2 linked regions of the Canis lupus familiaris genome follow. The protein of the gene in region 2 interacts with the protein of the main gene of each other region in a pairwise test. Links are inferred from orthologs where the notes say so. Each region holds a gene or a part of one and is shown on either strand. Other genes may lie near its edges.

Region 1 (3,741 bases), on a different chromosome or scaffold from region 2:
AGGATGGGGTCAGGGTTTGGGGTCCGAGCACTGGAGGGCCGGAGTCCTGAGGAGAGAGTTGGAGTCTGGGTCCTGAGGAGAGGGTTGGGGTCTGGGGTCTGGGCACTGGAGGGCGGGGGTCTGAGGACAGGGTTGGGGTCCTGAGGAGAAGGCTGGGGTCGGTGGTCCAGGTGGCGCGTAGGATGGGAGGTGAGGGCAGAGCATGAGGGTCAGGTCTGGGGTCCAAGTCCTGGAGGGTCAGGGTCCCGAGAAGAGAATTGGGGTCTGAGTCCTGGACAGCAGAGGGCCGGGAGCTGGGGGTGAGGCACGCGGTCGGGGTCCGGGGTCCTGAGGAGAGGGTCGGGGTCCGGGGTCCTGAGGAGAGGGTCGGGGTCCGGGATCCTGAGGAGAGGGTCGGGGTCCGGGGTCCTGAGGAGAGGGTCGGGGTCCGGGATCCTGAGGAGAGGGTCGGGGTCCGGGGTCCTGAGGAGAGGGTCGGGGTCCGGGGTCCTGAGGAGAGGGTCGGGGTCCGGGATCCTGAGGAGAGGGTCGGGGTCCGGGGTCCTGAGGAGAGGGTCGGGGTCCGGGGTCCTGAGGAGAGGGTCGGGGTCCGGGGTCCTGAGGAGAGGGTCGGGGTCCGGGGTCCTGAGGAGAGGGTCGGGGTCCGGGATCCTGAGGAGAGGGTCGGGGTCCGGGGTCCTGAGGAGAGGGTCGGGGTCTGGAATCCTGAGGAGAGGGTCGGGGTCCGGGGTCCTGAGGAGAGGGTCGGGGTCCGGGGTCCTGAGGAGAGGGTCGGGGTCTGGGATCCTGAGGAGAGGGTCGGGGTCCGGGGTCCTGAGGAGAGGGTCGGGGTCCGGGGTCCTGAGGAGAGGGTCGGGGGCCTGAGGAGAGGGTCCCGGGTTCTGAGGAGAGGGTCGGGTCCGGAGTCGGGCCCGGGCGCTGGGGTGGGGCACGCGGTCGGGGTCCGGGCTCGGGGTCGGGGTCGCGGTCCGGGGTCGGGGTCGCGGTCGCGGTCCGGGGTCCCGGGGCGGCGCGGTGGCGGAGGCCCGCGGGTGGCCAACGCCCGAGTCCCGCACCCGAGGCCGCCCTCCGTCCCCTTGGGCCAAATGCGGCCTGGACGAGCGGGGCGGGCAGAGGCTTCAGGGTCCCAGTTACCGGAGCCATTGGGGCCGATGATGCAGGTGAACCTCCTGAAGGGGCCGATGACCTGGTGGCCCCGCCACGACTTAAAGTTCTCCACAAGCAGCACCTCCAGGCGGCCCATGGCTGCGCCCTCCGCGCCTCACGCGTCCTCCTCGCACGCCCGCAGGAAAAGCGCGGGAAGGGCCTCGCGGCGTCTCGCGAGAGGAGAGAGCGCGCCATCCCCACCCCCAGCGGGCGCCGCGCCGTTCCTAAGCAACCAGGTTGTTTACGTCTCCCAGGAAACCGGCCCCCGCGCCCTGCGCCAGGTGGCGGAGAGCCGAACTGAAAAGCTCGCGAAGGGGGCGCGTGTTGCAGCGGAACCAGCCTCTCCTAGGCTACAACTACTTTTATTTTCGTTGTCTTTTTCCCTTTGCACCTCGCAGGCCTTAAAAAACCCGTAGAATTTCTTCGCGATTCCAGTCATGGAGCTAGCGCAGCCCAGGGACCTGGGGCAGGACTTGGCTCTGGGTAAAAGGAGGCACAACGAGCTGTGCAGGCAGAAACGGGTCTTCAACGCCAGGAACCGGATCGTGGGGGTGAGGCCCGCGGGCAGGGAGGGCATGTGCGGGGCGGGGGGTGGCGAGGGCGGCGGGCTGCGGGCGGCGGGAGCGGAGGCGAACCGCGCGGGCGGGGAAACCGCGGATGCAGGCACAGCTGCAAAGGCTGACGGCTCTCCCGGGGAGACGGGTTCCTTGAATGGGCTGCTGACCTCGTGGCGGGGGGAGAGGGGGAGGGAGCCCCTTCACCTGCAGGGCACACCAGATACTGCACTCTCTCACCTGCAGGGCACACCAGACTGCACCCCTTCACCTGCAGGGCACACCAGACGCTGCACCCCTTCACCTGCAGGGCACACCAGACGCTGCGCCTCCTCACCTGTGGGGTACACCAGACACTGCACCCTCTCACCTGCAGGGCACACCAGATACTGCATCCCCTCACCTGCAGGGCACACCAGACGCTGCACCCTCTCACCTGCGGGGCACACCAGATACTGCACCCTCTGACCTGCAGGGCACACCAGATACTGCATCCCCTCACCTCAGCACACCAGACGCTGCACCCTCTCACCTGCAGGGCACAGCAGATACTGCACTCCCTCACCTGCAGGGCACACCAGACACTGCACCCCCTCACCTGCAGGGCACACCAGACACTGCACCCCTTCACCTGCAGGGCACACCAGACACTGCACCCTCTCACCTGCAGGGCACACCAGATACTGCATCCCCTTACCTGCTCAGCAGGAAAATGGAGTCCTGCAGCAGGGAGGGGGCTCGCCTGCACCCACTGGCTCAACGGAGACCTGAGCACATCTCCTTTCCCTGAGCCAGATTTTCTACACTTGCCAGGGGCTCCTTCCAGTCTATTTATTTGTTTTGTGGCAGGTTTTTTTGGGGGGGGGCACAAAAGGAGGAACATGGCAATTCCTGCCTGACCTTGCAGAGTTCATGGCCCAGGAAGGAGAAGAGAGGCAGGCATTAAAACGGTCACATTACTATGCAGTGGAATCAATGCTGTGAGGCAGGGAAGAACATACTGGGTCTGGGGGAGGAAATCAGAGAGGGCTGCCCAGAGGAGGTGTTGCCTAAGCCTGTTCTGAGGACACCTATTAACGAAGAGAAGGGGAGAAGGAAGCTCTGGGGACAGGAGGAAGAACCAACTATAAGCAAAGGCATCCAGGTATCAAAAGACCTGATGTGCACCTAAGACAACTAGTTAACAGTGGAACAAGGCTTTTAAAAAGGTAAGTGGGATTGTTATCAACTGACTAAAACTATCTGGCTGTAACTGGTCTCCCCTTGTTTTCCATTTCCAGGGAGACACAGAAGCCTGGGATATTCAGGTTCGAGACCAGAAGATAAAAGAAGCAACAGAAAAAGCTAGACATGAAACTTTTGGTGAGAATTTGCTGGAGCCTATCTAGCAGTTTAGGGCCGGGTACCTCTAGACTCCAGTTCTCATGTCTTCAAAGATGTAAAACTCATCATTTTCACACTCCTCCTCCTTTTAAAATTTCACCGTTGATTTTATTCAATTAACGTGCTGATTCTTTCTCTCTTCAAAGGAAGACAGCTATTGAATTCTATGTAGGTGGCAGGAAATATATTTTAAGGGTAAATGTACATTTGCATCAGTTTTCTTTAAAAACTGATTATGAGAAACCCTACACACACATCATTCTGTGCCCCAAGGTTCCAGACCTTCTCCTGGGGACAGCTGCTTGCACTAGATGACATGTGCACACTCTCAGCTCACACTCCTGCGTGGATTCAGAGCTAGATATGGTAGTGTGGTAGCTCTGAGATAAAAATCTCAAATAGAATTCACTTTCCCACAGCAGGTACAACAAGTCTAGCTTATTTTTTTTAAGTACCATAAGGATATTTTTAAAAAAGATTTATTCATTTGAGAGAGAGGAGGAGAGAGCAAGAGTGAGTGTGGGGGGAGGAGCAGAAGGGGGAACTCTCAATCCAACTCTGCACCCAGTATGGAGCCCTACTGGGGGCTTGATCTCATGACCCAGAGATAATGACCGGAGCTGAAATTAAGAGGCAGACACTCAACCACTGAGTCACC
Region 2 (3,741 bases):
ACCAAAAAATTTTAACAATTTAGTATGTAAAAAAATGATACAGGGGCACACGGCTAGCAGTTGGTAGAGCATGTGATTCTTGATCCCAAGGTCTGAGTTCAAGTCCCACACTGTGCATATTTCCTTAAAAATAAAATAATATAAAAAAATCTTAAAAATGATACCTTCTCTAGTACAGTTTGGTAAAACTTAGTCTTCTGTAATTTTCACATCTGTTTTAGAGTAAATGGCTTTTTTTGTTTTTGAGAGAGAGTATAATCGGGAAGAAGTAGAGAGAGGAGAGAGTCTTAAAAATAGCCTGGTGCTTAGCCTTCAACATGGGGTTTGATCTCTCAACCCTGAGACCATGGCCTGAGCTGTAATCATGAATGAGATGCTTAACCATCTGAGCCACCCAGGCACCCCTAGAACTAACGGCTTTTGAAAATCATGCTGAATGATGAAAATTGTATTCACTTATTTTAAGTAGGCTGCACACCCAACATGCCCAATGTGGGGTTTGACCTCATAACCCTGAGATCAAGACCTAAGCTGACATCAAGAGTCCAGTGTGCAACCGACTGAGCCACCCAGATGCCCCTGTTCACGCATTTCTAAGTGTTTTGTTTAAACTGGAGTATTCTGATAGATCATACAGTGACACGGTTTGGAGATACTTTTTTTTTTTTTTTATTTATTCATGATAGTTACAGAGAGAGAGAGAGGCAGAGACACAGGCAGAGGGAGAAGCAGACTCCATGCACCGGGAGCCCGACGTGGGATTTGATCCCGGGTCTCCAGGATCACGCCCTGGGCCAAAGGCAGGCGCCAAACCGCTGCGCCACCCAGGGATCCCGGTTTGGAGATACTTTTAAAAAAATATAGATTTTATTTCTTTGAGAGGCAGAGCAAGCATGAGTGGGTGAGCCTGGAACTCAGAGGCCTCAATGCCAGGAGCTGAAACCAAGAGGAGGCTTAACCAACTGAGCCACCCAGGTGCCCCTGGAGATACTTTTGCATTAAAGGCCTAGGACCTGTCTATTTCCTTGCCTTGTCACTATATTAAAGGGTATCAGGCCATTGTTAGTTTGCCGATTTGTGCCAGGCAATTTAAGGGCCTGTATTATTTTAGCAACACTGCTAAAGTCACTTCATTCCTAACGTGCTGCACGATTTAGGAGCTGCGCGGGCAAGGACGTCTGCATACCGTTTCTCCAAGCACAGACCATCCACCTGCAGCGAACACACCTGTGTCGACGTTCCAGATTTAAGCTGTGTGATCTGCTCTAAGATGAGGTCTGTATCCTCAGCTCCTACAGCGGGTGACAGGAGGCCATCAACAAGGAAAGAAATATTTTTTCCAAGTAGATATTTCGGAGCAGGACCACACCTCGGACCCGGACCGCAGGCGCTTACGGGGCCGCGCAGAGACCCGCGCATGCGCAGTCGAGGTCGTGCGAGCGGAGCCGGTGGAGGGCAGTGCGCGTGCGCGGCCGGCTCGCCCGCTATAGGCTGCTCCGAGGCGGGAGCCTTAACCTCCGGGAGGTGACGGGACCTCGGGCGCCGGCTGTCTTGCTGGGACGCGCGGCTTCTGTGGGATCTTCGCCCGTACGTCCTCGGAGGGGGCGGCTTGGGGGGCTGCGGCGGCCTGTGCGGGACGGCGTGGGGAGGGGCGCCGAAGGGGGCCTGCGGGGGCGGAGGGAAGGAAGGCGGCGGAGCGGCGGGGGGAGGGGAGGGGAGGGGTGCGGAGCGACGGGGGACGGAGCCGAAAGGGAAGGGGCGGGGCCGAGTGGGGGCGGAGCTAGAGTGTGAGGGGGAGGGGGCGGAGCTAGAGTGAGGGGCCGAGTGGGGGCGGAGCTAGAGTGTGAGGGGGAGAGGGGGCGGAGCTAGAGTGTGAGGGGAGGGTGAGGGCGGAGCTAGAGTGAGGGGGAGAGAGGGCGGAGCTAGAATGTGAGGGGGAGAGGGGGCGGAGCTAGAGTGTGAGGGGGAGAGTGGGGGCGGGGCTAGAGTGAGGGGCCGAGTGGGGGCGGAGCTAGAGTGTGAGGGGGAGAGGGGGCGGGGCTAGAGTGTGAGGGGAGGGTGAGGGCGGAGCTAGAGTGAGGGGGAGAGAGGGCGGAGCTAAGTGTGAAGGGCCGAGTGGGGGCGGAGCTAGAGTGAGGGCGGGTGGGGGCGGAGCTAGAGTGAGGGGCCGAGTGGGGGCGGAGCTAGAGTGTGAGGGGAGAGTGGGGGCGGAGCTAGAGTGAGGGCGGGTGGGGGCGGAGCTAGAGTGAGGGGCCGAGTGGGGGCGGAGCTAGAGTGTGAGGGGAGAGTGGGGGCGGAGCTAGAGTGAGGGCGGGTGGGGGCGGAGCTAGAGTGAGGGGCCGAGTGGGGGCGGAGCTAGAGTGTGAGGGGAGAGTGGGGGCGGAGCTAGAGTGAGGGGGGCGGAGCTAGAGTGTGAGGGGGAGAGGGGGCGGAACTAGAGTGAGGGGCCGAGTGGGGGCGGAGCTAAAGTGAGGGGCGGGTGGGGGCGGAGCTAGAGTGTGAGGGGGAGAGGGGCGGAGCTAAAGTGAGGGGCCGAGTGGGGGCGGAGCTAGAGTGTGAGGGGGAGAGGGGGCGGAGCTAGAGTGAGGGGGGAGAGGGGGGCGGAGCTAGAATGTGAGGGGGAGAGGGGGCGGAGCTAGAGTGTGAGGGGGAGAGTGGGGGCGGGGCTAGAGTGAGGGGCCGAGTGGGGGCGGGGCTAGAGTGTGAGGGGGAGAGGGGGGCGGAGCTAGAATGTGAGGGGGAGAGGGGGGCGGGGCTAGAGTATGAGGGGAGGGTGGGGGCGGGCTAGAGTGAGGGGCTGAGTGGGGGCGGAGCTAAAGGGGGCGGGGGCGGGAGGGATGGGGCAGGGGCGGGGGGACGGAGCTGAATAGGGCGGGGGCCGAGTGGGGGAGGAGCTAAATGCGGATGCGGGTTGGGGCGGATATAAGATGCGGGGGCGGGGTCGGGATGGAGCTAAGGGGGAGGGTGGGGCGGAGCTGAAGTCTGCGGAGGTGGGGGGGGGTCGGGGTCGGGGTCGGGGGTGGAGCTAAAGTGTGGGGCGGGCGGGTCGGTCGGGGCGGAGCTCATGTGTGCGGGCGGTGGGAGTCGGAGTGGGGGTCGGAGCGGAATGCGAGGCGGGCAGGGTTGGGTTCGGGAGGGATGGGGGTCGGGGTCCGGATCAGAGCTAAAGTGCACGGGGCGGGGGGGGGGGGGGGGGGGGGGGGGGGGGTTGCGGCGTCGGAGGATGGGGACGGGGTCGGGGTCTGGAGGCGGGGCGCGGCCGGTGGGGGTCAAGGCAGTGTCGGGGCCGGAGTTGGAGTGTGCGGTCCGGTGCCAGGAGCATCGGGTGGGGGGGGGGGTCGGGGGCGAGCTGGGGCCGGGGCTGAAGAGTGAGGGTGTCGGGGTCGGGGGGGTCGGGTGGCAGCAGGGTCTTGGCGGTGCGCAGGCCCCAGGGAGGGGCGACCGCGGGCCGGGGGTCTCCCTGCGGGGCCTCCCTGTGGGGCCCGCCCGGTGCTGGGCTGTTTGCCGGGGCCTCCCGAGTTGGCCCGCGGGGCTGGCAGGGTCGGGGCCCCCCCCCCCCCCCCCCCGTGCGTGGGCACCGTGGGCGGCGCGGTCAGGAGCCACGGGGGTCCCGGGGTCCCGGCGGGGCCCGCTGCTGGGGGGGTGGAAGGCGGAGGGCGGGGTCAGCGGGGCGGCGGCTGGCCGTCGGCTCCTCCTGCGCAGAGGGGTACTGCTGGCGCCCTGGAGGCCTCGGGGACCCGG

What was found.
Region 1: the proteins of RAD54B (region 2) and RIBC2 interact in a two-hybrid assay, tested with the Homo sapiens proteins (2 studies listed by BioGRID and IntAct). The two-hybrid records come from large-scale screens. The link is inferred for Canis lupus familiaris from reciprocal best matches to the Homo sapiens genes RAD54B and RIBC2.

The regions. Positions count from the first base shown.
Region 1 is NC_049231.1:21,585,152-21,588,892, reverse strand, and holds the start of RIBC2 (RIB43A-like with coiled-coils protein 2), read left to right. Parts: upstream 1-1,391; 5' UTR 1,392-1,583; coding exon 1,584-1,697; intron 1,698-2,980; coding exon 2,981-3,062; intron 3,063-3,741. Other genes in the region: SMC1B (structural maintenance of chromosomes protein 1B), read right to left, coding at 1,135-1,243. UniProt on the Homo sapiens protein: Microtubule inner protein (MIP) part of the dynein-decorated doublet microtubules (DMTs) in cilia axoneme, which is required for motile cilia beating.
Region 2 is NC_049250.1:39,849,175-39,852,915, reverse strand, and holds the start of RAD54B (DNA repair and recombination protein RAD54B), read left to right. Parts: upstream 1-1,453; 5' UTR 1,454-1,587; intron 1,588-3,268; exon of another isoform or gene 3,269-3,325; intron 3,326-3,741. UniProt on the Homo sapiens protein: Involved in DNA repair and mitotic recombination. May play an active role in recombination processes in concert with other members of the RAD52 epistasis group.